3 linked regions of the Canis lupus familiaris genome follow. The protein of the gene in region 3 interacts with the protein of the main gene of each other region in a pairwise test. Links are inferred from orthologs where the notes say so. Each region holds a gene or a part of one and is shown on either strand. Other genes may lie near its edges.

Region 1 (7,225 bases), on a different chromosome or scaffold from region 3:
AAGAACAAGTCTCACTTTGATGCTGATGTGTCTTAAAGCTTTCCCTGAAGTTGGTTAATATCTGTCTTGAACAAAAACATCCGGATTTAGGCCCAGAGCCTTTGGCAGGTAACAGTATAGGACCATAGTTTAGTATCATTTGCTTTTTGTTCCCATTACGTTTCATTTCTATATTCACTTATTTCAGTATTCAAGTTTTATTTATGGCTAATGATAGCAGCATTTAATAATTCCTGGCAAGATGTTGCTAGGATCCAATACAGTACCCCAAGTTTGAGGATTAAGGCACAGGGTTGGGAGTTACCATTTGAATCATAGCTCTGCCACAGCCTTGGAAAAATCAGCTTTTTGAACATCACTTTTTCCATTGTAATGAAGATGTTGATTTACAAGATGCTCCCCTGTCCCAAAAATAAGGATATAAAAATCACCATGTGTCCAGCATACCCACAATGGAAAGTCTGAGTACCAAAACTGAATGACAAAATACATGAACTCAAACGTCACAGCAAAGATGGTTGCTTCATCTCATGGGGGTTTTTTTACTTTTCTTTTTAGTAATCTCTATACCCAATATGGAACTTGAACTCATGACCCCAAGATCAAGAGTCAGTCTTGCTCTTCCCACTGAGCCAGCCATGGGTCACCTAGGTTCACGGAGGTAATCTCATTCCTCTATCCATTTTTAAAGTAGGGTTATCACAACCTAAATACCAGCTCTGTAGACTAACCTATTCCATTCAATAGTATTCTGGGTTTCCAGGGTGACTGAAATAATAATCTGTGATTCCATAGTTAATTCCAGATTTTTTAAAAAAATGCTTTATCCTTCCAAATCAGTTTGATATCACTGTCATATGTGGGGGGGGAAGGTTTTTGCAGAAAGATTCCCTGTAAAATCTATAGTCATACCACTGGCAATCTCCTAGTTTGCTGTAGTTTATTGTAAAACATTACCATTTGGGGTAAACTGGGTGAAGGATACACAGAATGTCTTTGGGTTATTTTTCCACTTTCTTCTGAAACTGCTTTTTAACTTTATTTTGAAATAATTAAAAATGCTACTCATGAAAATGAAAGAAGATAAACATTGCAATTCCAAATTTAAAGTGAAAATCTGGGGGCACCTGGATGGCTCAGTGGTTGAGTGTCTGCCTTTGGCTCAGGTGGTGATCTTGGGGTTCTGTGATCGAATCCTGCATCCGGTTCACCACAGGGAGCCTCTGCCTCTCTCTCTCATAAAATAAACTCTTTTTTTAAAAAAATAAAAATAAAGTGAAAATCTGAATGGTATTAGGAGAGCTTTGGAGTCACCTGACAAATGTGGTACCTCGGTGGAGGGACTGGGAAGCTCAGTAAAAAAGGCTTATATATATATGTATAAGGCTCATTATTAACTCTGGCAGTGATAAACATTACCTGGTCTTGTCGCTTTGCTCTCCCCCAACTCCTTGACCCAAGGTTAGGCCTAGACCAAGCTAACTCTGAATCAGCTTCAACTAACAAGGAACCAGATGAGCGGGAGAGAGGCCGGAAAGGTTGTGAAAACCCAGGGAAAGAACACTGTGCACATAATTTATTTAAGTCACTCTGGATCTGAGGCTAAAACACAGCGGATGCCATCCCGGGTGGACGGTCAGCCAGCGCTCCGCGCCCTTCCGGATCCAGGCCTGGGTTTCATCTGGGGACCTCCGACCGCACCAGGGAGTCGGCCTGGCTCAGGGCGAGTTTGTCCTTCTTCTCCTTCTGCAACACCTGCTCTTCCCACAGCGCCTGGTCAACCTGATCGTCTGTGAGCACGACGGGCTTGTACTTCTCGTCGAAGAGGCGCTCGTTCGTCTCAGAATGCAGCTGATGGGGTCCGACGACGCGCAGATGGGCCGGCAGGTGCTGGAACTCCTCGTCGTTGATGTCGCAGTCGCGCATCCGGGCGGCCAGCACCCACCAGCGGCCCACGAAGCCCACGTCCAGGATCCGGTCCGGGAAGTCGGCCCAACGGGGCTGCAGGTAGCGGCAGCGAGCCTGGTAGAGGCTGGCCTGGGCGTCGACGGGCGCCTCGTACACGAGCGCGCAGAGGCCCAGGTTCACGTGGCGGAGGCGGCCGCGCCCCCGCAGCCAGAGCAGCCGCTGCACACAGTCCTCGGAGGCGCGGTTGCGCGTGGCGGGGGCCAGCAGCAGGAGGATGCCCGACGCGTCGAGCAGCGCCTCCTCGAAGGCCGCCTCGCTGGGCGCCAGCGCGCAGCAGGCCGCCGCGCCCCCCAGCAGCCCCGCGTACACGGCCGCCCGCCAGGGCCGGGCCCGCGCCGCCGCCGCCGCGTCCCCGCAAGCCTCGGCGTAGTCTCGGAGCAGCACGCGGGCCCAGGCGCCTGAGGGAGAAGCGGAACACACAGGTGAGAGCAGGCCGCCGTGGCCACCCTCCCGCCGCCGCCCGCCGCTACTCACCCAGCCGCGCCCACACGCCCGGCTTCGCGGCCGCCGGGCCACCAGATCCTTCACGGTTTCGGGACCACAATCTCTTCAGAGCGGCCGTCGCCATTCTCTTCCGGCTCAGAGTCCGTTTTCCGAAGCGAAACGCCTCGTGTGCGAAGTAAAAGGCCCGGGGGCCTCCTGCGCCAGCGTCGACGGTGCCGGAAGTGGCTTCCCATCGGAACAAGACGGAACTCGGACCGCTGCCGGATGTTGCTGTCGGGTCGGAGCGCGGCCGGCGGAGGCCGGGAGGCGGGCCGCGCAGGCGCAGAGAGCCTGGGCCACGCCGGCTGAGGGAGCCTCAGGTGAGGGGGGCGGGGTGCACCTGTGGGGCGGGGGCGGCGAGGTCACCCCCCGCTCGGTGCCCTAGCGGCCTGGCTGGGCTCCGGGCTGAGGGATGGACCTGGGGGGAGGGGCACCGAGTGTGGTTGGGGGCGGGCGTCATTGGCCTCTGTCCTCAGAGCGGGATGCGGTGACGCCCCTGAGCGACCATGGCAGCGGCCGACGAGCTGGCCTTCCACGGTGAGTGGGCGGCGACCTGGCCCGAGCTCCTACTCCCTCCGCCGCCCGGACCCTCCCACCCGGGTGCCCGCCGACAGCCGGCCTGAAGCCCCGACCCTGACCCGAACCCCGCTCCCAGCCTGAGCCTCGGTCCCAGACCTGACCCCATCCCGGAACCAGCCTTAAGTGGTGGGCCCTTGTGGGGCGGGGGGACACACCTTACAACTCCCCAAAACTTAGGAAGCTGGGCCCTTAGGTAGCCCCAGGTGGAGTGTTGTCCCCCAGCCGAGCAGTGGGCCAAACCAAATTGTCTTGACTCCCAAAACATGCCTTTGTCCCGTATTCCTTCTCCATAGAGTTCGAGGAAGCTTCTAGTCTGCTGGCGGAGACCCCAGATGCGGCCACCACGAGTGGCCGCGGTCAGCTGGCCCCACAGGGGCACGTGGCGGTGGAGGTGGACTCGGGTGGTATCTACGGATCTGAGGAGGCTGAGGAGAGTGACAAGACTGCGGTGAGAGCCTCAGGCCCTGCCTGCACCCAGCCCTGCCCCCGCGCTCCGCCCAGGCGGGAAGGGCAGCCGCTGAAAGCCCATGCCATCCCTGCAGCTCCTGCAGGAGGAGAAGCAGCAGCCCGGATTCTGGACCTTTAGCTACTATCAGAGCTTCTTTGACGTGGACACATCCCAGGTCAGGCCCGGGAAGCTGGTGGGATGGGGCCTGCGGTCACACGGGGGTCCAGCCACTGTTCACTGAGCCCTTCCTAGACACCAGAATGCTGGTGATGCCCAGGCGGTAGGACACGGGCCCCTACACGGGCTGGTGGACTGTGGTGCGCTGTCAGGATTATGGTGTGATGGGCTCGTGGGAACACAGTTGCATATAGTCACGCAGGTTAGAGAAGGGCCTCCTGGAGGAGGTGAGGAATGTGCAGAGACGTGAAGGGAAGCACGTATGGCAGGTGCAGGGAACAGCAGATGCAGAGGGCCAAAGGTGAGAGAAGGTGTCACGAGCTACCTGTCACTTGATCTGGTTGGAGATTGAGGTGGGGGACAGGCAGGCAGAACCCAGACCACAAAGGCCTCGTACGCTGTGCTAGTTTGAGTTTCATCGTGAGGGTGCTGGGGAGCCACAGAAGGGCTTAGAGCGGGAGAGGAATGAATTGAATTAGGAAGGTGGCTCAGAGACCCCAGGCCTTAAACCTGGGGTGCAGAACAAGGAATATAGTGGAAAGAGAGGTAGGCAGGAGGATGCCCAGGATTTGACTGTTCCCCACCTCACGGTCCAGGCATGTCACAACATAACAGGCTGTTCAGGGCAGCCAAGCTAAGAGAAGGGAGAAGCAAGGAGAAAGATGACCAACCCGGAAGAGTCCTTGAGAGCAGTAGCGCGCTAGGGTATTGGGGCTGGCCAGGGAAAGGGGCATCAAAAACTCAGGGAACATCCAAGCTTTTTCAGGCAAGGAGATGGGAGCTCAGCAGGGAAGGAGCCCCTAAGGGCAGGAGCTTAGCCCTTTCCTCTTTCTTTGGTGGAGGGATGTGTGTGTTGGCCCTGTGCAGGCTCCCATTCTGGGCCCCACCTTGTCCCCAGGTCCTGGACCGAATCAGAGGCTCACTGCTGCCCCGGCCTGGCCACAACTTTGTACGGCACCATCTGCGGAATCGGCCAGACCTGTATGGTGAGTGGTGGTGTACGTTCAGCTCGATAATTCATTCAGCACATGTGGACCGAGTGCCAGCCCATGGATTCCAGCTGAGAAGAAAGTAGGGGCACTCCCAGAGGGCAGGAAGCACGCATTCCATCTGGGGAGACAGATATATAGAGGCTGCTGAGGGCAATGGGGCTCAGAAAAAAAGCAAACAGTTTAGAGGATGGGAGTTGCCATTTTGCATGGTTGAGACAGGACATCTCTGAGGAGGATGCAAGAATGGGCCTTGTTAGGGATGAAGGTGAGGAGACATAGGGGAAGAACATTCCAGAAGGGGGCACAGGTCCAGTGGTGGAGCAGTATTGTCACTGGAGCAGTGAGCTGCATGAGGTCGTAGAGGTGACAGGAGAGACTGTGCAGATTTTGTCCGTCTCAGTGAGAAGGGGTCTTAGTTAAGGACTCTGAGGCTTCCTCTGGCCATGGGGGGCGGGGGGGGGCAGGGGCAGATGCCAGGAGACCAGAGAGGCAGTGCCCGCCACCATGGTACAGGTGTGGGGTGATGGGCCCAGCCCCAGGTGGAGAGCAGTGGTTGGACTGTGAAAGAGATCTCATGGCAGAGCCGACGGGACTTCCTGACACCCTGACACGCCTGAGGTCGGGCGGGAGGAGAGAGGCAAGGGTGGCTCCTGGATTTCCATCGGGACTGCTAGAAGGATGGGACTGTCATTTACCAACTGGAAAGGCTGGGCAGGCTGGAGTTGGAGAGACCTAGACGTGACGTGGAAATGCTGACTATAAAGCCAGTGGTTCATGGCACAGACCAAATTTGAGACATTTGGGAGTCATCAGCCTGGAGGTGACCTAAACCCCTGAGGCGGGACAAGATGGTGCAAGGGGTGAACACAGAGAGGATGGCTGAAGACCGGCCCTGGCTGGGTCCCCGTTATTGAAGGGGTTAGGGAGTCCCAAAGGTTGGGGAATAGCCAGGAATGTGACATGCCAGAAGCAGGAGCATGAAGTCCTAAAAGCACATGGGGAGTGGTTCCAGAAGAAGGAAGCGATCAGCTACAGCAAAGGCGATAGAAAAGTCAGGAAAGCTGAGGGACTGAGGGCCAGCTCTGGGATCAGCCAGCCCAGGTCATCAGTGACGGGGGGTGGTGTGCAGGTAGCCCCGAGCCTAGAAAGCAGCTGGGGTCCCAGCACAGTTGAGATGGGACAAGTCTCCTGTTCGGGGAACCCTGGGCCCCTTCCCACACCCTGCCCTGCCCACAGGCCCCTTCTGGATCTGTGCCACGCTGGCTTTCGTCTTGGCCATCACTGGCAATCTGACGCTGGTGCTGGCCCAGAGGAGGGACCCCTCGATCCACTACAGCCCCCAGTTCCACAAGGGTGAGTGAAGTGGGCTAGGCCTGGCACCTGCCGGGGCTGGGAGTGCACAGAGCCCCAAGGGTGACTGCCTGCCTTGCCCCGCGCTCCACAGTGACTGTGGCTGGCGTCACCATCTACTGCTATGTTTGGCTGGTGCCGTTGGCGCTGTGGGGCTTCCTGCGGTGGCGGAAGGGTGTCCGGGAGCGCATGGGGCCTTACACCTTCCTGGAGACCGTGTGCATCTACGGCTACTCCCTCTTTGTCTTCATCCCCACCGTGGTAAGTGCGGCCCAGGGGTGGAGGGCACCAGGCATCATGGGGAAGGCCTGGTAGGCAGCTGCCCATGTCGCCCCCAGGTCCTGTGGCTCATTCCGGTCCCCTGGCTGCAGTGGCTCTTTGGGGTCATGGCCCTGGTGCTGTCAGCCGCCAGCCTGGTGTTTACCCTCTGGCCTGTTGTCCGAGAGGACACCAGATTGGTGGCTGCGGTGCTGCTCTCGACTGTCGTGCTGCTCCATGCCCTCCTGGCCGTGGGCTGTAAGGTACAGACGGTCACGACCGGGGCGGGGGACGGGTGCTGACCCCCCACCAACACTGACTCCAGGGGCCTCGGTCCAGTTTTATTTCTTCCAGCCCCTGCCTCTGGAGCACCTGGCACCGCCGGCCCAGGCCACGTCTCTGCCTGCGAACCTCTTGCTGCCACCCACGTCGAGGCCTAAGGCCACTTAGGGCGGCCGAGCCTATGGGTAAGGGGCTGCTCCTGCCTTTCCTCCCCGTCTCGAGGAGTCCCAGGGCTGCTCCCAGGAGTCTCTCTCTTTCAGGCCCAACATGAGGGGACACCTATGCCTGCCCTGCTCCTCAGACGATGGCTGAAGGCTCCCCTGACACCTCAAGATCACTCTGCTACTTTCCAGACTTTTCTTACAAAGCAAACACTTTTATTTTCTATGCAAAGGTGATTCCGAGAATTTATATAAAGGCGGGAAAGGGGCAGCAGGAAGCTCCTGGTGTGGCATCGCCCTCGGGCTCCCTGCCCAACCTTCTGCTTTCCCCAATGGGACAGTTGGGAGAGCAGAGGGGGGCCACCCCGGCCTCAACTGTGCCTGCCCTTCCTGGGTGCCTGGTGAGCTGGTCCCAGGGCCTAGCCTGAGCTCCACCGCATCCGAGTTTGAAGGTGTTAGAAACGGGGGGAGCAGAAGTAGAAGAAAATTGCCTGTGCTGAAACATACATTTCCTTGTTTATTTGTTT
Region 2 (7,083 bases), on a different chromosome or scaffold from region 3:
AGAAGTAGAATTTCAGAGCCAATGATTATGTGTATTTAAAAACGACATGGGGCGCCTTGGTGGCTTAGTCGTTTAAGCGTTGGATCTCTATTTTGGCTCAGATCATTATCTCAAGGTTTTGAGATGGAGCCCTATGTCTGGCTCCATGCTAAGCAGGGAGCCTGCTTAAGATTCTGTCTCTCCCTTTCCATCTGCCCCTTTCCCTCTTTCTGTCTCTCAAGAAAACAAACAAACAAACAAACAAACCCAAATCCCTCTCTATCAAAGAAATGACCATACTCTCCCAAGTTGTCCCCCTGTGATTTGAATGTTGCACGTCTCCTTGAAGTTCCAAAATTAAGATTGGGGACTGAATGAAGTTGATAAATGTAAAGTACTCAAAACACTTCAAAATAATTATTTTTATTTATTTGTTTATTTTTTCAAGGTTTTATTTATTTATCATGAGAGACACAGAGAGGCAGAGACATAGGCAGAGGGAGAAGCAGGCTCCCTGCCGGGAGCACTGATGCAGTACTCTATCCCAGGACCCTGAGATTACAACCTGACCCAAAGGCAGATGCTCAACCGCTGAGCCACCCAGGTGCCCCCCAAATAATTATTTTTAATATATTGACACAAATACACATAGCATTGCAATGATTTACATTACACCAATAATTCATTGTACCGTGACCCACATGTATAACCTCTGCGGACCACTAGGGGGCTCTGCTGGAAGGGTTTTTTATAATTTATATTAGTCCACTAGGGAGGTATTTCCAAATGATGCTTTAGAATTCTGACCTCTTAAAACCTGAAAGAGAACATCTAGTCCAGCTTCCTTATATTACAGATGAGGAAACCAAGGTTGGCCAAGATAGCTAGCATGGAGTAGAGCTGGAATCAAAAATTTCCTCTTGGTTCCGATGGCAGAAGTTCAAGAACTTTTTTTCCATGTGCCTCCACTTGAATGATTCACTGCCTGTGAATCACTTTGGTGCCACAATTTTAGTAATTCTTGCTAAGACCGTGTATTTGTGATATTTTTCTCGGAGGATACTTTACTAACTGATGAGGAGAAAGCAGCTCATGAAATAAAAACTTCTAAATAAACTTTATTACTTTATTCCAGAATGTTCTATGTAAAGTACCGCTCAGCACCAAAACCATATCACTTCCTGAAACCCTAGCAACCATTTTCAATTTGCCTTTCAAACTTACTATATACTTAAAACATTTTTCTCTTATCTTCATTTGTTCACTCAATATTTATTGAGTGCCTACTAGTGCGAGACAGTCATAGGCCCTTAGGTTTACAGAAGTAAAGCTACCATTCCTCCACAAGAAGCATCTATTTCTCCATTTAAAAAAATATGTATTTATTTATTTTATTTCTCCATTTTCCACTTTAACATACAAACTATTTTCACATGTTTTAGTTTAGTGGTGCTGGTAGTGTGGTCCCTGAACCAGCAGCAAGAGCAGCAGCATTTGAGAACTTGTTAGAGAAGCAAATTATTAGGTCCACCCCACACTCTAGGGATGGGGTCTAGCAACCTGTTTTTGTTTTGTTTCGTTTTTTTAAACAAACTCTTGAGGGATTCTGATGTAGATTCAATGTTAAAAACTTAAAAAAAAAATGTCACTAGTGTCAAGGTTAAGAAACCCTGTTCTCTTTTTTTTAATTTTTAAAAAAATTTTATTTATTTATGATAGTCACAGAGAGAGAGAGAGAGAGGCAGAGACACAGGCAGAGGGAGAAGCAGGCTCCATGCAGGGAGCCCGATGTGGGACTCGATCCCAGGACCCCGGGATCATGACCCGAACCCAAGGCAGCCGCTCAACTGCTGAGCCACCCAGGGTGCCCCCAAGGTTAAAAACTCTTACACCTCGGTACTGATGATCTAAGTAGCTCAAAGATCAACATCTGACTTCGAAATCTACCTCAGGCATCTACATGGAGTTACCTGTTTCAAATACACCTGATGCGACCCAACAATGACCACTTTGAATTCAGCGACGTGGAGTATCTGGAACAATCGCGTTAGTAGTGGCACTTTAATGGCTTCAGAACAAAAACGGACCGCCGTGGGATTTTTCTGGGCCTACACCGACAGAAAATGGGCCGGATGAGTTCTGGAATGGTGTTTTCGTGCCCTCGACCCAGTCAGGCGCAGCAAGCCCGGGGGTCCTGGGTCTGGCTGGGTCAGGACGGCGCTCGCAGCCGACCGGGGCCGCGAGAACCCGCTAGCTCGCGCCCAGCCCTCCGTCAGAGGCCGCGGGTGGGAAGCCTCGGCCGCACCACAGCGATTTGGAGAGGGGCGGAGGCACCCGAGAGGACCCGGGAGGCCCGCGCAGGGCCGGCCAGCGCGGAAGCCGCACCCTCCTGGCCTCAGACGCCGGCAGGGCGGAGCCACGCGGCCGCAGCTCCGGCAGAGACGCGCGGCGCAGCGCGGCGCGGGCTCGCGTTTGAGGCGTATGGGGCTACAACGGGAGCGGCTGCGCCGCCCGGCCGGGTCAGCGTCTTGCGCATGCGCGGACCCGGCGCCATTTTGGTGGCCGGGCGCGGAGGTGATTCCACACTGAGGAGAGCGCGGCGGCCGGGTGGCAGTGGCAGCGTTCGTGTGCTCGGGTGTGAGTCGCCGAGGGAGGAGGCGCTGGTGGAAGAGGTGGCGGCGGTGGCGGTGGTCGTAGCGGTGGCGGAGGAGGCGGGTACGAATCAGCTGCGGGCGGAGACATGGCCAACATCGCGGTGCAGCGAATCAAGCGGGAGTTCAAGGAGGTGCTGAAGAGCGAGGAGGTCAGAAATGAACTCCCAGACATGCCCCCACCCCAGCCCTGGGCGGGAGGGTGCTCCCAGCGGCGACCCCGGCCCCCCGGTAACCCCTGGGTGGCCCTCTTGGCGGCCGCCCTTTCTGCCTGTGGGGAAGCAGCAGTCTCCCCCCTGCTTCCGTCGCCCTCCCCTCCCCTCCCCGGGCCCTGGGATGGACAGTCTCGCGGGCGGGCGGTCTGGAGAGGAGCACGGTTTGGGGGGCAGATGGAGAAGGGGGCGCCTCCTGGAGGGGTGTGAGCTCTAGAGAGAGCCCGAGGCCGTGGCAACAGCTGGAAGTGTGGATGTAGGGTGGGGAGGGAGCAGGCCGGGCCTGAGAAAACCCGGGAAGTGGGTTGGGGGAAGGGGAAAGGTGGTAACTGGATCCCGAGAGCCGCGCCGCTCCGAGGCCCGCACTTTTGAGGGTTTTCTACGTTACAGCCTCTTTGGCCTCCACTGTCCTTTTCTTTTGGGAAGGAGCGGTAAAAAGACCTTAGGTACTGATGAAAGAAGGACGTTTCAGAGTTACTCCCTCCTTAGTTCGGTGTTGGGAGAGAAGAGGAGACGTAATGGGATACTATTCTATTGGAGTGGGGAATGAGGGAATTTTCACCTGAGGTAGGGAATTAATTCCAAAATAGATCATTATCTCATTTTTCCCGACTTCCCCCCCCCCCACAACCCTTCCTTCACCCCACCCCCAATTCCTAGGCCTCTTTTCTGTTGACATCTAAAGCTTTTTGATTGGGTCGAAGGCATGTTGTTTGGTGTATTAAAGGCATTTAGATATTTTTCGATAGGAAAAAATAATGGAGGGTAAAGAGTAGCTTATTTCAAAATATTGTTTACAAGTTACAGGTCAGAGTCTCTCCTAAGACAATGCCTCTGTGACTGTTGTGTTATGCCATGAAACTTCATTATGATGTCTCTCATAGTTAACTTGATTCTTACTTTTGAAAAACCAGCCCTATTAAAAACATGGGATTTCCCCCGGATTAATATATTATTATACCTCCTTATTGAGTAGGTTTGTATCATAATTGAAATTATTGGAAACACTTTTTTTTTGTCTCAAGCTGCTCTTGAGTCCTGCAGAATTTAAATACTCTGCTGTTTGCCATATTTACTTATATAGTATATTCAGAATATTCTAGTGATTTGACTCAAAACTGTACAAGGATCAGTACAATTTTTTATACCCACAACAACAAGAATGCCAAGTTTTTCCTCCTTGGATTTAACAAAGAGAGAGATGAAAAAGTAATACTGAAATAGTTATTATTTTCAAGATGTCACATACCATTATTGGATGTATCATTACTATTTGTATTTTTCTTTTATGTTGGAGCGTTGATAATCTCAATGATTTGTGAAATTCAGCATTCTAATGAGTAATTGACATAAGTGGCAATACTTGAGCTTTATTTATGTCACTGATTCTACAGTAATCATTTCTCCAATTAGACATGGAGAATATAATTCTTTAAGATTAACTTAAAATAACAAATACTAGCGATTTACTAATGTAGTAGTCTATAAGAAATGATCTGTTTTACAGAGCATGTGTATGAACTCTGACCTCTGTATTTGTTCAAGAGCCAAAACTCTGAATGGAAGGATGACTTTGTATTTTTGTGGTACAATGCAGAAATAGGATCATAAATGTCTGTACTGATATACAGTGAAACAATGATTCTAACTTTTTATTCGCAAGAAAATATGTTCCAGGATAGTCGACATATATATAATCCTATGAAATATTCAGCTAATACTGTTGCCAACAGCCTAAAACATTTCTTCTGTTAATAAAGTTGTACAAGCCTGAGACTTAATATGACTTCTTTCTAGTGCTTTATTTTCTATTAAAAATGGTAAGTTACTGCTCTCAATTCATATGGTCTCTTTGCTTCGTATGAGGTGACTTTCACTATATTTTTAGTACTTCAATTAAAGCTTAAAAGAAATCTTGTATCAACTCTAGTATGCATATTGTTAAAACAATACTGCTCTGTAAGGGATGTTGAAGTCTTGCTTCAAGTAAGCATTATGGTATTTCAGAGAAAGAGAATAGGAAATGCTAATAAATTGTTTTAAGAAGAGTACCTTTATAAACCTGGAAGGAAATTTCTTCTAGAAAATAAATTGCAGAGTACATTTAGGAAAGGGTCAGATAATTTAATCTTGGATTATAACCAATAAATAGCTTTATTTTCATCGATATTTTAGTAGGTCCAGTTTTATAAGTGGATTGTGTTGATTATTTTCAGCTCATTGAATGACTTGTAGTAGAGTCCACGTGTTTTCCTTTTTAAGTGTGGAAATGTAGTATTTTGAGTGTCTGGTCAAGTAATTAAGTATTTCATCATATCATCTACATAAATCTCTAGGTTTCCCAAAGTTTGTTTCATATGGTCTTGTTTACTAAGAATACTGATTGGTTTAAGGAATTTTTTTTTTTTTTTGTCTTTTGTTTTCTAAAGATAGCTGATGTTTGCTGAGTTCTAACCATAAGAGGTTATAAGTAGTCACTCTTGGAGTGTGTTAATTAAAATCTAGGCTTGAAGATAAATCAAATGTGAAAAGCTAGGTGCAGAATAGTGTGGAGGAGGCTACCATTTGTATTGGAATAAGGGGGGAAATATGTGTATTTTTCTCCGTGAGAAATTGGAAAATTGATTACTTCTGTATGAGGGAATTGGGTGGTCTGGGGTAATGGGCATTAAAGGATCCCTTTTGAGTTTGGAGTCATGCATATATATTATTTACTTAAATAAAATAATAAAGGCATCTAGGTCTTTTTTCCTTGAGACTGTTTGGAAATCCATCCTCTATGTTTCAGATACTAATTTTAAATCTGTGTGAATTTTAATATTTCAAATTGCCAGGAATGGAAAATTGATTAAACTACATTTTTTTTAAACTACATTTTATAGTTATTTTATGAGTCGAATTACTAAGTGAAATGTTGATTGTGAGGATATAATAAAACCATAATTTATATTCGGGTTGTATTATTGTTGTTAACAACTAAGCACCATTTGTAGATTGACTCTTAATAACATTTGTTTATGCATTCTTGCTAATTTTCAGGAACAGTTCTTTGAATTAGATTTCCTGTTTCTTCGATGAGGAAATTGAGATTCAAAGAAGTTAAATTATTTGTCTGCAAGCATGTAGCTTTGGGACTTAGATCTAGGTGTGCTTGTGTTTATATTGTACACAGTGTCATTACTTTCCAAGGATAGGCATGCTTTAATTATTTAAAAATAACTGAGACTGGTTTGTATTACTGATTAAAGGATATAAACACAACCTAATTTAATAGTTTAAACATTAAAAGAAGTATTACCTGTTAAGTAACTTAAATATTTATTTGCATGTCAGTATGCAAAGTACTTTAAAACATATTTTTTGTTGTTGTTTACTTCAGAGAGAAAGAGAGCACGCATGCTTACAAGCCAGCAGGGGCAGGGGGCGGGGTGGGGGGGTATGGGGCAGAAGGAGAGAGAGAGAGAATCTTAAGCATACTCCCCTGGACCTCAGAGCCCTGATGACCTCGAGGTCATGATCTGAGCCAAAATCAAGAATCAGATGCTTAACCGACTAAGCCACCTAGACACCCCTGCAAAATACTTTTAAATTTGAAACTCAATAAAATAATATGTCCCAAGTCAATGCTCAGACTCTTGGGGTTTTTGTTGTTGTTGTTATGTGTTATCTGTAGTTTTTTCATATTGTAGCTGTACTTTGCTAACATTTGCTATGATTCTAATAGAGTATATTTAGGCAGCCCAGGTGGCTCAGCCCTGGTGGTTTAGCACCGCCTTCAGCCCAGGGCCTGATCCTGGAGACCCAGGATCAAGTCCCACGTCAGGCTCCCTGCATGGAGCCCACTTCTCCCTCTGCCTGTGTCTCTGCCTCTCTCTCTCTGTGTCTCTCATGAATAAATAAATAAAATATTTTAAAAATAATAGGGGATATGGCAATTACAAGTTGATTCGTGAAATTCCCATATGTAATTTATGGCATTACAAGTTGATTTCATGAAAACTGCTATTGTGAAGTTTTTTTCTGTTTCAGTGGATTTTGTATTTAGTGTCATTATTATATTTAATTTTTTTATTTTTTTAAGATTTTATTTATTCATGAGAGACACAGGGGCAGAGACATAGGCAGGGGGAGAAGCAGGCTCCCTGCGGTACCTGATGCAGGACTCCGAGATCACAACCTGAGCCAAAGGCAGATGCTCAACCACTGAGCCACCTAGATGTCCCTTTTAGTGTCATTTTAAA
Region 3 (7,398 bases):
CACCTGTGTGTGTGTGAGACACCTGCATGTGTGAGATGCCTGTGTGTGTGAGACTGTGTGAGACGCCTGTGTGACACACCTGTGAGAGATGACTGTGAGAGACACCTGTGTGTAAGAGATGACTGTGTGTGAGACCTGTGTGTGAGAGACACCTGTGTTTGAGAAAGAGATGCCTGTGTGTGACACCTGTGTGAGACACGTGTATGAGATGACTGTGTGTGAGACACGTGTGTGTGTGAGAGACGCCTGTGTGTGTGTGTGTGAGAAAGATGCCTCTGTGTGTGTTTGTGTGTGTGTGTTTGTGAGAGAGAGAGAGAGAGAGAGACGCCCTCACCCTCTGAATCCCTCAGAGCCTTGAAGAAAGCCTTCACACTTCCCCACACCGTGCAAATATTTACTCAAGTTGGGGAGATGCTCCTGTCCTGGAAGGAAGGGGGTAAGGACAAAGGTGGGCAGAGCTCCCATCAGTACATCTCACCTTGTTTATTGAATTTATAATAAAGGAGGTAGTGAAGGGAAGGAAGGACTTAAGAATCAGAACCCATATTAGACACTGGGGAGAGAAAAATTAAGTCAACAGGGGTAAAGTAGGGGAGAGTCAGTGGGAGCCTTGCCCATCTTTCAACATCAAATCAACAAATGTGGGGGAAAGCAAAAGATCAGGAGAGGGAAGAAACAGACATCCTCTTCCGTCTGTCCTCCTGTCCCAGAGCTGGGAGTTAGGATGCTACGCAGCGAGTTCAGGGCAGAAGTTTCTCCCATCCTCTGCACAGATGTCACACCTCCTCCCCACACCCTCCTACAAAGTGGCCAGGGTTGGCCTTAGCCAGTAGAAACGGAGGGGTTGGGAGGGAGGGGCCAGGAGTAAGGAAGGGTCAGCAAGGACCCCCAATACTGATTCTCCTCTGGCTGGAGGTGGGCAGGAAGGAGACAAAGCTCAAATACTGAGCAGCCAGAAAAAGAAGAAGATGGCGAGAAACAGGAAGAGGGAGTCCTGCCAGCTGGAGGCCGGGTGACCCTGTCCCAGATCCACACCTGTAGGAGAAAGGAAAGCTGTGGGAGAAGCATCCACTCCTAGGTTGGGAAAAGGCCTGAGGGGACTCAGAGGGCTCCCTGCTTGGAGCTGAGGGAAGGCTCTTCTTACCTGTACCCCGACGGAATGGCTCATGGGTGTTGAAGACGGTGGTGAAAAAGCCAAAGGGAAAAGCACCAACACCAAATGAGAAGTGAAAGCCCCCGGTATCACCAAATGACTGGAATCCCTAGGGAGGTGGAGAAAGTCAGAGGAGAACTGGGCAGGTCTTTGGCAAGGAAGGAACACAAATCAGACAAGACTCACCCCTCTGCTCTCTGAAGCTGGTCGCTGGCCCTGGGGGCGGGGTGGAGTTTTCAATCTGAGGAATGAGAGACTGGCTAGGGCTAGCAGCAAGGAATGTCCTCTCCCCCTCCACGCCCCACTCCCAGGCCAGAAGCAGTCCATCTTCCCTCAGCACCACCCCCTCTCTCTCACCTGGGATCCTGGGGCTTCTGGCTCCCTCGCCCATAAAGAGGGACAACCTTTTCTCTGCTGATCCCAGCTTTACACACTGGGCACTCTTGCCGCTCTGGCCGGGTCTCCAACCACTGAGGGAGAAAATGAAGTGGTTTCCAGTTCACAGTAGGGTTTTTCAACTCCTCAGACCTCCCCATTTCCCTCTTCATCTCCTCTGAGTACGCACCTGATGAAGACAGGGCCAACTAGATGGGGGGAAAAAAAGAAGGTCAAACTAGCTACAGTAAAGACAGACACGAACCTGACCTCAGAGTCCGATCGCACCCCTCTTCCCAGGTATTACCTGCTGTTTCTTTTCATGTTTTTGACAACCTATTCCATGCCAGCCAATTTGGCCTTCCCACCTCTCTGATCTTACAACGTCTAAAGTAATATTCATCCTCCGAGGTTCAACGCTCTTCTCTCCTTGAACACACATGTCCCCTCCCTTTTCTGCCTCTGAACTTAGTGTCCAGGTCTCTTCAACCAGAGCTTTCTAGATCTCCTGTTTCAGCCCCAACCCCAGCCCTGCCCGCATCACTCCTCAACCAAACCCCCTTTACTAGCACCTGCCCCCACTACTCCTTTTCCTCTCTTCTAGGCTCCATCAAGTCCCTATTTCCACCATCCTTTCATTTCTCAGTGCCCTGGTCCTCAGGTCTGTCATACCACTCCCTACCAAGATCTCATCTGCATGCGATCCTACATTCCCTCGGTCTCCCGTACCCGACTAAGGCGTGCCTCCTCTAACCTTGGAGTCTAATCTATCTCCACCTGTACAACTAAGACCGTCACTTTCCGGGGTAAGGCGGCTGGGGTCTCACCTGGACAGATGTAGTTCCCCCACCACCACCCCGCCCTGCTGCCTCTTAACCACAGCACACCCCTCAGCGCCCAGTTCCTAGGGCTCTCCGCCACACGGCTCTCCTCCGTGGAGATGTGACCCTCTCACCCACACATTCCCAGAGACCTCGGGCCTCGCCCACGGGGATGTGCCCGCCGACTATCCGTATGCGTGCCATCCCGCCCCCAGCCTCCCCAGTAAGGGGCGAGCCCCATTTCTCTTCAGCCCCGGCCGGACCCTCACCAGTACAGGTGGCCACACACGCTGACCACAGCCTCCCGAGCAGTCTCCAAGCATATATTACATTCGAAGGTCGCGCCCGCCCCGCCCCGCTCGCGGTTTGGCCCTTCGGGGCCCCCGTCCTCCTCCTCCGCGGCTGCCATGGCCGGTGTTTCGCCTTCACGTACCCCTCGGTCTCCCCAAACACACACACAGACACACACACGCCCCAACAGCGAGAAACCGCCTCCAGCCCACGACCGTTGGGCGGGCTTCGAGGTTGTCTAAACACTACTGGTCTGGGTGGCTGACAATCACACAGTTTAAAAGCCAGGATTGGCCCAAAGGGTAGGGAGAGGTCTGCGCAGGCCTGCCCTTGCCAGCGACGATTGGCGGGCGCGTCTCCGTCAGGACGCCATGCGACAGAATTGGTGTCCGTTGGACCTGGTCGGGGAGCTTGATTCGTCTGAGTAGCTGCCAGTCAGGGCCAAGGGCCAGAAGCAATTGGTCCGGGACCACACAGGCCCCGCCTCCTCCGAGCCCTTTCTTTGCTTCACTTCCCCTTTCCGAGAACGTCCGGATTCCTATTGGACTTTGGAGCGTAGAGCTCCGAAGCTCTGGATTGGCTGGAACTCGACGGAAGATGGTGGTTCGGCAAAGTGCGCGCGCGCAGCAGGCGGCGGGAAGGGGCGGGCCAGGCCGAGAGTGCTCGGCTTTCTCTGGCCCCACCCCCTCGCCGCGCTCTTGTCGCCGTGGTGACTGCTCTACGATTGGCGGGCTTTGGGGTTCAAAGGCATCAGCGCCGCCTCATCCGGGCCCTCCGACTGCGGTCTCTCCGGGCTGATTGGCTAGTTTCTTGCAGCCCTGATTGGCCGAGATCGGAAAAGACGGCCGAGAGCTCGGCGAGGTAGCAAATGCTATGGTCGCAGGGCTCAAAATGGCTCCGGCCTCCTTCGGTGACGTAGAGGGCAGAACTGGGGCTCGCCCCTCCCTTTCAGTGAAGAAGGGAGCAGAACTGGCATCAGCTCGACGTGTGGGTGGTGCGAGCATCGACCTGCGGCGCTGGTGTTAACCCATCTCCCTCGGCTGCGGGACGCAGCCCGCTCCTCCTTAGGTGACTTGCAGAACAGATCTCAAGGCCCACACCTTTCTAACGTTGACACAGGATGACAGAGTTGACCCCGGCCCCGTTTTAAACCTGAAAAGCGAACTAGCTCCACCCCTTCGTGAGTAGGTGCCGAGGGGGCAAGGCCCGCCCTCCTGAGCGACCCGCGGCGGAATGGGGTTAGGCCCGCCCCTTCCGTCCTGTAGTGTGTCCCGCAGAAGTGGGGTCTTCCTCCTGGGTAGGACCCCCGGGACTTGGGCAGGCCCGAGCTTGGGCCTTCTCTACAGTCAGTGACCTCACTGTGGCCCAAGGAGCAGAACTAGGTAACAGTCCTCCCATACCAGTGTTCCTTACATCCTCGACCTCAGGGCGTGTAAATTCTAGCAGGGCGAATGTGTGTCTGGCAGCGGGGACAGACTCGGGCCGAGGGCAGGTCAGCACCCAGATAAAGGTCTCACGTGACCAGGGAGGCCAGGTGAGAGGAGGGCGGGGGAAGTGAAGGTACAGGATGCCGGGAAAGGCTTAGGAGAAAAGTTCTAGGGGAAGGGGTGTAGACCAAGGAGAGGAGCAACGCAATGGTCCTGGTTTAAGGGACAGTGGAAAGACGAGCGAGAGGAGGTCAGAGGCTGGACAGGGAACAGATACATGCCTACAAAATTCAGGAGGCATGCTCGTCCCAGAGTAATCTAGCGTTCTTTCTCTCTCTCTCTCTCTCTCTCTCTCTTTTTTTTTTTTTTTTTTTGTTTCTTTCTCATTTTTTTTTAAAGCAACCCTAATACCCAGTTTCTACTGGAAAAGATGCGCCCGCCCAGATTCTATGTTGGGGAGAGGCACTGTCTCAGCTTCAGTGATTGAGACTGACAGGAAGGAAATTGAAAAGCGAAAGTACTGAAGTTAAATAAAGACCGTGGAAGGACAGGGGCAGGGACAGGGCCCGAGAGTACCTCTTCTCTTTAAAGACCAGAGAGAGGGTTGAAGCAGGGAGCCGGACTGCGTGCGGGGAGGGCAAAAGTCAGAGAGCCAGCGAGAGCTGGAGGGGCCAGGGAGGTGGAGCCACGGGGAGGAGACGAGTACTTGGCATATAGTAGACACCTGCAGATATCCGGAGTTGGGAACAGGAAAGAGGTTTTTGGAGGAGTCGGGAGTTGGAGGGAATATACAGCAGATAAGGGAGTTAAGGAGAAAGGAAGAAACCGAGTGAAATTCCCAGGAAGAGGAGAGCTGATGAAGAAGGAATGGGCCAAGGAAGGAATACAGCACCAAGGGACACACGAGCCATGTGTGCTGAAAGGGAGTTGGAGGAAAAAAAGATGCAGCTGGAGCCTGAGAAGGCCGGAGACCGGCAAAGCCCAGCCGAGCTCTCGCGGGGCGGAGCCACCGAGGAAACTGGTCGATTCGGGGAGGCGATTGGCAAGACGGGCCGCCCATCACCGCCCCCTACTTCCTGGCCAGCCCCGGAAGCCCGCAGGCGTTGGGGAGGGGTAGGGGGATAGCGGCAGCAGCAGCCCCAGCCTCAGAGAGACAGCAGGGAGGGAGGGAGGGAGCTAGGGGGATAACCCCCCACCGTTCCTCCCGCAATGGGCCCAGCCTCCCACTCTCACCTCCCCTCCATCGGCCGGGGCTAGGACACCCCCAAATCCTGTCGCCCCCTTGGCACCGACACCCCGACCGAGGCAGAGACACAGCCACCCGCCACCACCGCTGCCGCAGCCTGGCTGGGGAGGGGGCCAGCTCCCCGGGCCCCCCACCCCACTGAGGTGGGGGCGGGAAAGGGATGGGAGGAGGCGGGAGGAGGGTGCCGAGAGGGGATGGGGGAGAGATTGGGTCTGGGAGGCGGACTGGGGAGAGGTTTGCTGGGGAAAGGAGAGGGGCCCTGAGGGAGGAAGGATGGAAGAGAGACGGAGGAGATCCGAAAACCCTGTGCATTTGGGATGGGGGTGTGGACAGAGTCCTGAAGAGGGAATTCCTGACACCTTCCCCAGTTCCTTTTCCTGCCCTTTGGCCCCACATGACTCTTGAGGGGTTGTAGCCGGGAGAAGGTGGTTTATTGCCCTCCTTCCCCTAGCAGAATTCGCTTCCTAGAAATGCCCTCAGACACCTCTGTTTCATCTGGGCACAGGACCTTCTTCAGTGGCCATCCACACTGGACTAGATCCTTACTGACACAGATGCTTTGTGGGGGGCCATGTTTTCTACATTGAGTCCGTGTGCCTTTGACATGTTTAGTGGCTTATGTGCGGCTAGCCTCTCCCTGTGCTCTCCGTGGACTGTGGACAAACGATGTTATTGTCCATCAGAATTGCCCATTCTCCTATCTTTATGTCCATGTCTCTTGTCCAGTCTTGACATTGTTCAAATGTGAGTTTTTATATATTGCATCCATTGTGTGGTTTTGTGTTTTTTGCACATTTTATGCTTTTGCATGTTTACTTTTGCATGTAAAGGTTATCCCTTATTTGTTTTGTTTCATGTATCATATATTATTATGTCCATGATCCTGTCATGTGTGGTAGTCTTCGTGTGGGGGATCCTGTGGTTTAGTGGACTAGTGCACACTTCTGTTGTGATTGGGTTGGCCTGTTGGCTGCATGTGTTTTCCCAGTCAGGATTCACACCATACCTATGCATGCTCCTTTACATATTTATCATGTTTACACTGATGTGGCCCTTCCACAGCATCTGTGCTTCTGGGTACACATACTATTTATTTCATAATTTTATTGGCAGTGTATTTTGTGAGTCATCTGCACATTAACCCATTTGGCACTCCATGCGCTTATAAGTCCTTGGACATTTCTGCTCCAGAGGAGGTCACTTAATGTTATACATTAGAGAAAAAGGTGACGGGGCCTCTGTTTCCCCAGAGAACCATCCCCATGTGCCTTACCTTGCTGACCTTCCTGGCCTGATCTCTCCAGTGGCTGTGGACAGCCTGTGTTCATGGAGGTCAGTGCATGCCACAGGGTCAGCTCTGCTGTGCACTTCCTCTGTTCCCCCACTCTTTTGCTGTGTTGGCATTTATTGATGACAGTAGCATCTCTCCCCTGTGGCATGTTAATCCCCATTCCGTATGTTTCTCTTTTGTGTGAGATGGGATGCGCCATCTTGATTGTTGGTGCTTCCCCTTCAACGTGACTGCGTATTGTATGTGTATATTCAGAGAAGGTTACTGTTAGGCTTGTTATGTTCATTGCTTTCTCAGTGACTTATCTTTTCACAGAGTGTAGCTATCGGATTCCTGATCATTTCTGTCATTAATTATGGCTGTGTGGGTGTGTATCCAGCCTTATAATCTGTTCAGCAAATGTTTATTGAGCACCCTCTCTGCCTCCTTCTGTCCCAGGTATTGGGCGTTACTACCCTCAAGCTGCTTACAGACTAGGGAAGGAAACAAAAGTGCCAGTGAGCAGTTATGTACGCTGTGGTGTCAAGATTAGTGGTTCTCAAACTTGTGTGCACACCAGACTCACTTGGAGGGCTTGTTAAAATACAGATTGTTGGGCCCAAGGCCCAGAATTTCTGATTCAAGAGATCGGGGGCGAGGTCCAAGAATACGCATCTCTACACTTTGAGAACCAGTGATCAAGATAAAAGTGTAATGAAAACTCAGGCCAGGAGGGGTTCAAGAAGGCTTCCAAAGCGTGACGCTCAGCTGTGTGAGGCAAGTGAAGAGGCGGAAGGGCATTCCAGCCAAGGGAG

What was found. The genes of interacting proteins can lie anywhere in the genome.
Region 1: the proteins of RNF5 (region 3) and YIPF2 interact in binary tests that used the Homo sapiens proteins (3 or more experiments, as listed by UniProt). The two-hybrid records come from large-scale screens. The link is inferred for Canis lupus familiaris from reciprocal best matches to the Homo sapiens genes RNF5 and YIPF2.
Region 2: the proteins of RNF5 (region 3) and UBE2K interact in binary tests that used the Homo sapiens proteins (3 or more experiments, as listed by UniProt). The link is inferred for Canis lupus familiaris from reciprocal best matches to the Homo sapiens genes RNF5 and UBE2K.

What each region holds. Positions count from the first base shown.
Region 1 is NC_049241.1:50,724,128-50,731,352, forward strand, and holds the start of YIPF2 (protein YIPF2), read left to right. Parts: upstream 1-2,628; 5' UTR 2,629-2,771; intron 2,772-2,927; 5' UTR 2,928-2,957; coding exon 2,958-2,988; intron 2,989-3,323; coding exon 3,324-3,478; intron 3,479-3,572; coding exon 3,573-3,653; intron 3,654-4,553; coding exon 4,554-4,641; intron 4,642-4,649; exon of another isoform or gene 4,650-4,676; coding exon of another isoform or gene 4,677-4,765; intron 4,766-5,883; coding exon 5,884-6,000; intron 6,001-6,091; coding exon 6,092-6,258; intron 6,259-6,335; coding exon 6,336-6,518; intron 6,519-6,580; coding exon 6,581-6,722; intron 6,723-6,797; coding exon 6,798-6,808; 3' UTR 6,809-7,225. Other genes in the region: TIMM29 (mitochondrial import inner membrane translocase subunit Tim29), read right to left, coding at 1,678-2,366, 2,443-2,536.
Region 2 is NC_049224.1:73,348,056-73,355,138, reverse strand, and holds the start of UBE2K (ubiquitin-conjugating enzyme E2 K), read left to right. Parts: upstream 1-2,486; 5' UTR 2,487-2,719; coding exon 2,720-2,782; intron 2,783-7,083. UniProt on the Homo sapiens protein: Accepts ubiquitin from the E1 complex and catalyzes its covalent attachment to other proteins. In vitro, in the presence or in the absence of BRCA1-BARD1 E3 ubiquitin-protein ligase complex, catalyzes the synthesis of 'Lys-48'-linked polyubiquitin chains.
Region 3 is NC_049233.1:1,699,980-1,707,377, reverse strand, and holds RNF5 (E3 ubiquitin-protein ligase RNF5), read right to left. Parts: upstream 2,924-7,398; 5' UTR 2,759-2,923; coding exon 2,619-2,758; intron 1,738-2,618; coding exon 1,719-1,737; intron 1,624-1,718; coding exon 1,511-1,623; intron 1,395-1,510; coding exon 1,340-1,394; intron 1,263-1,339; coding exon 1,145-1,262; intron 1,036-1,144; coding exon 938-1,035; 3' UTR 469-937; downstream 1-468. UniProt on the Homo sapiens protein: Membrane-bound E3 ubiquitin-protein ligase that mediates ubiquitination of target proteins. May function together with E2 ubiquitin-conjugating enzymes UBE2D1/UBCH5A and UBE2D2/UBC4.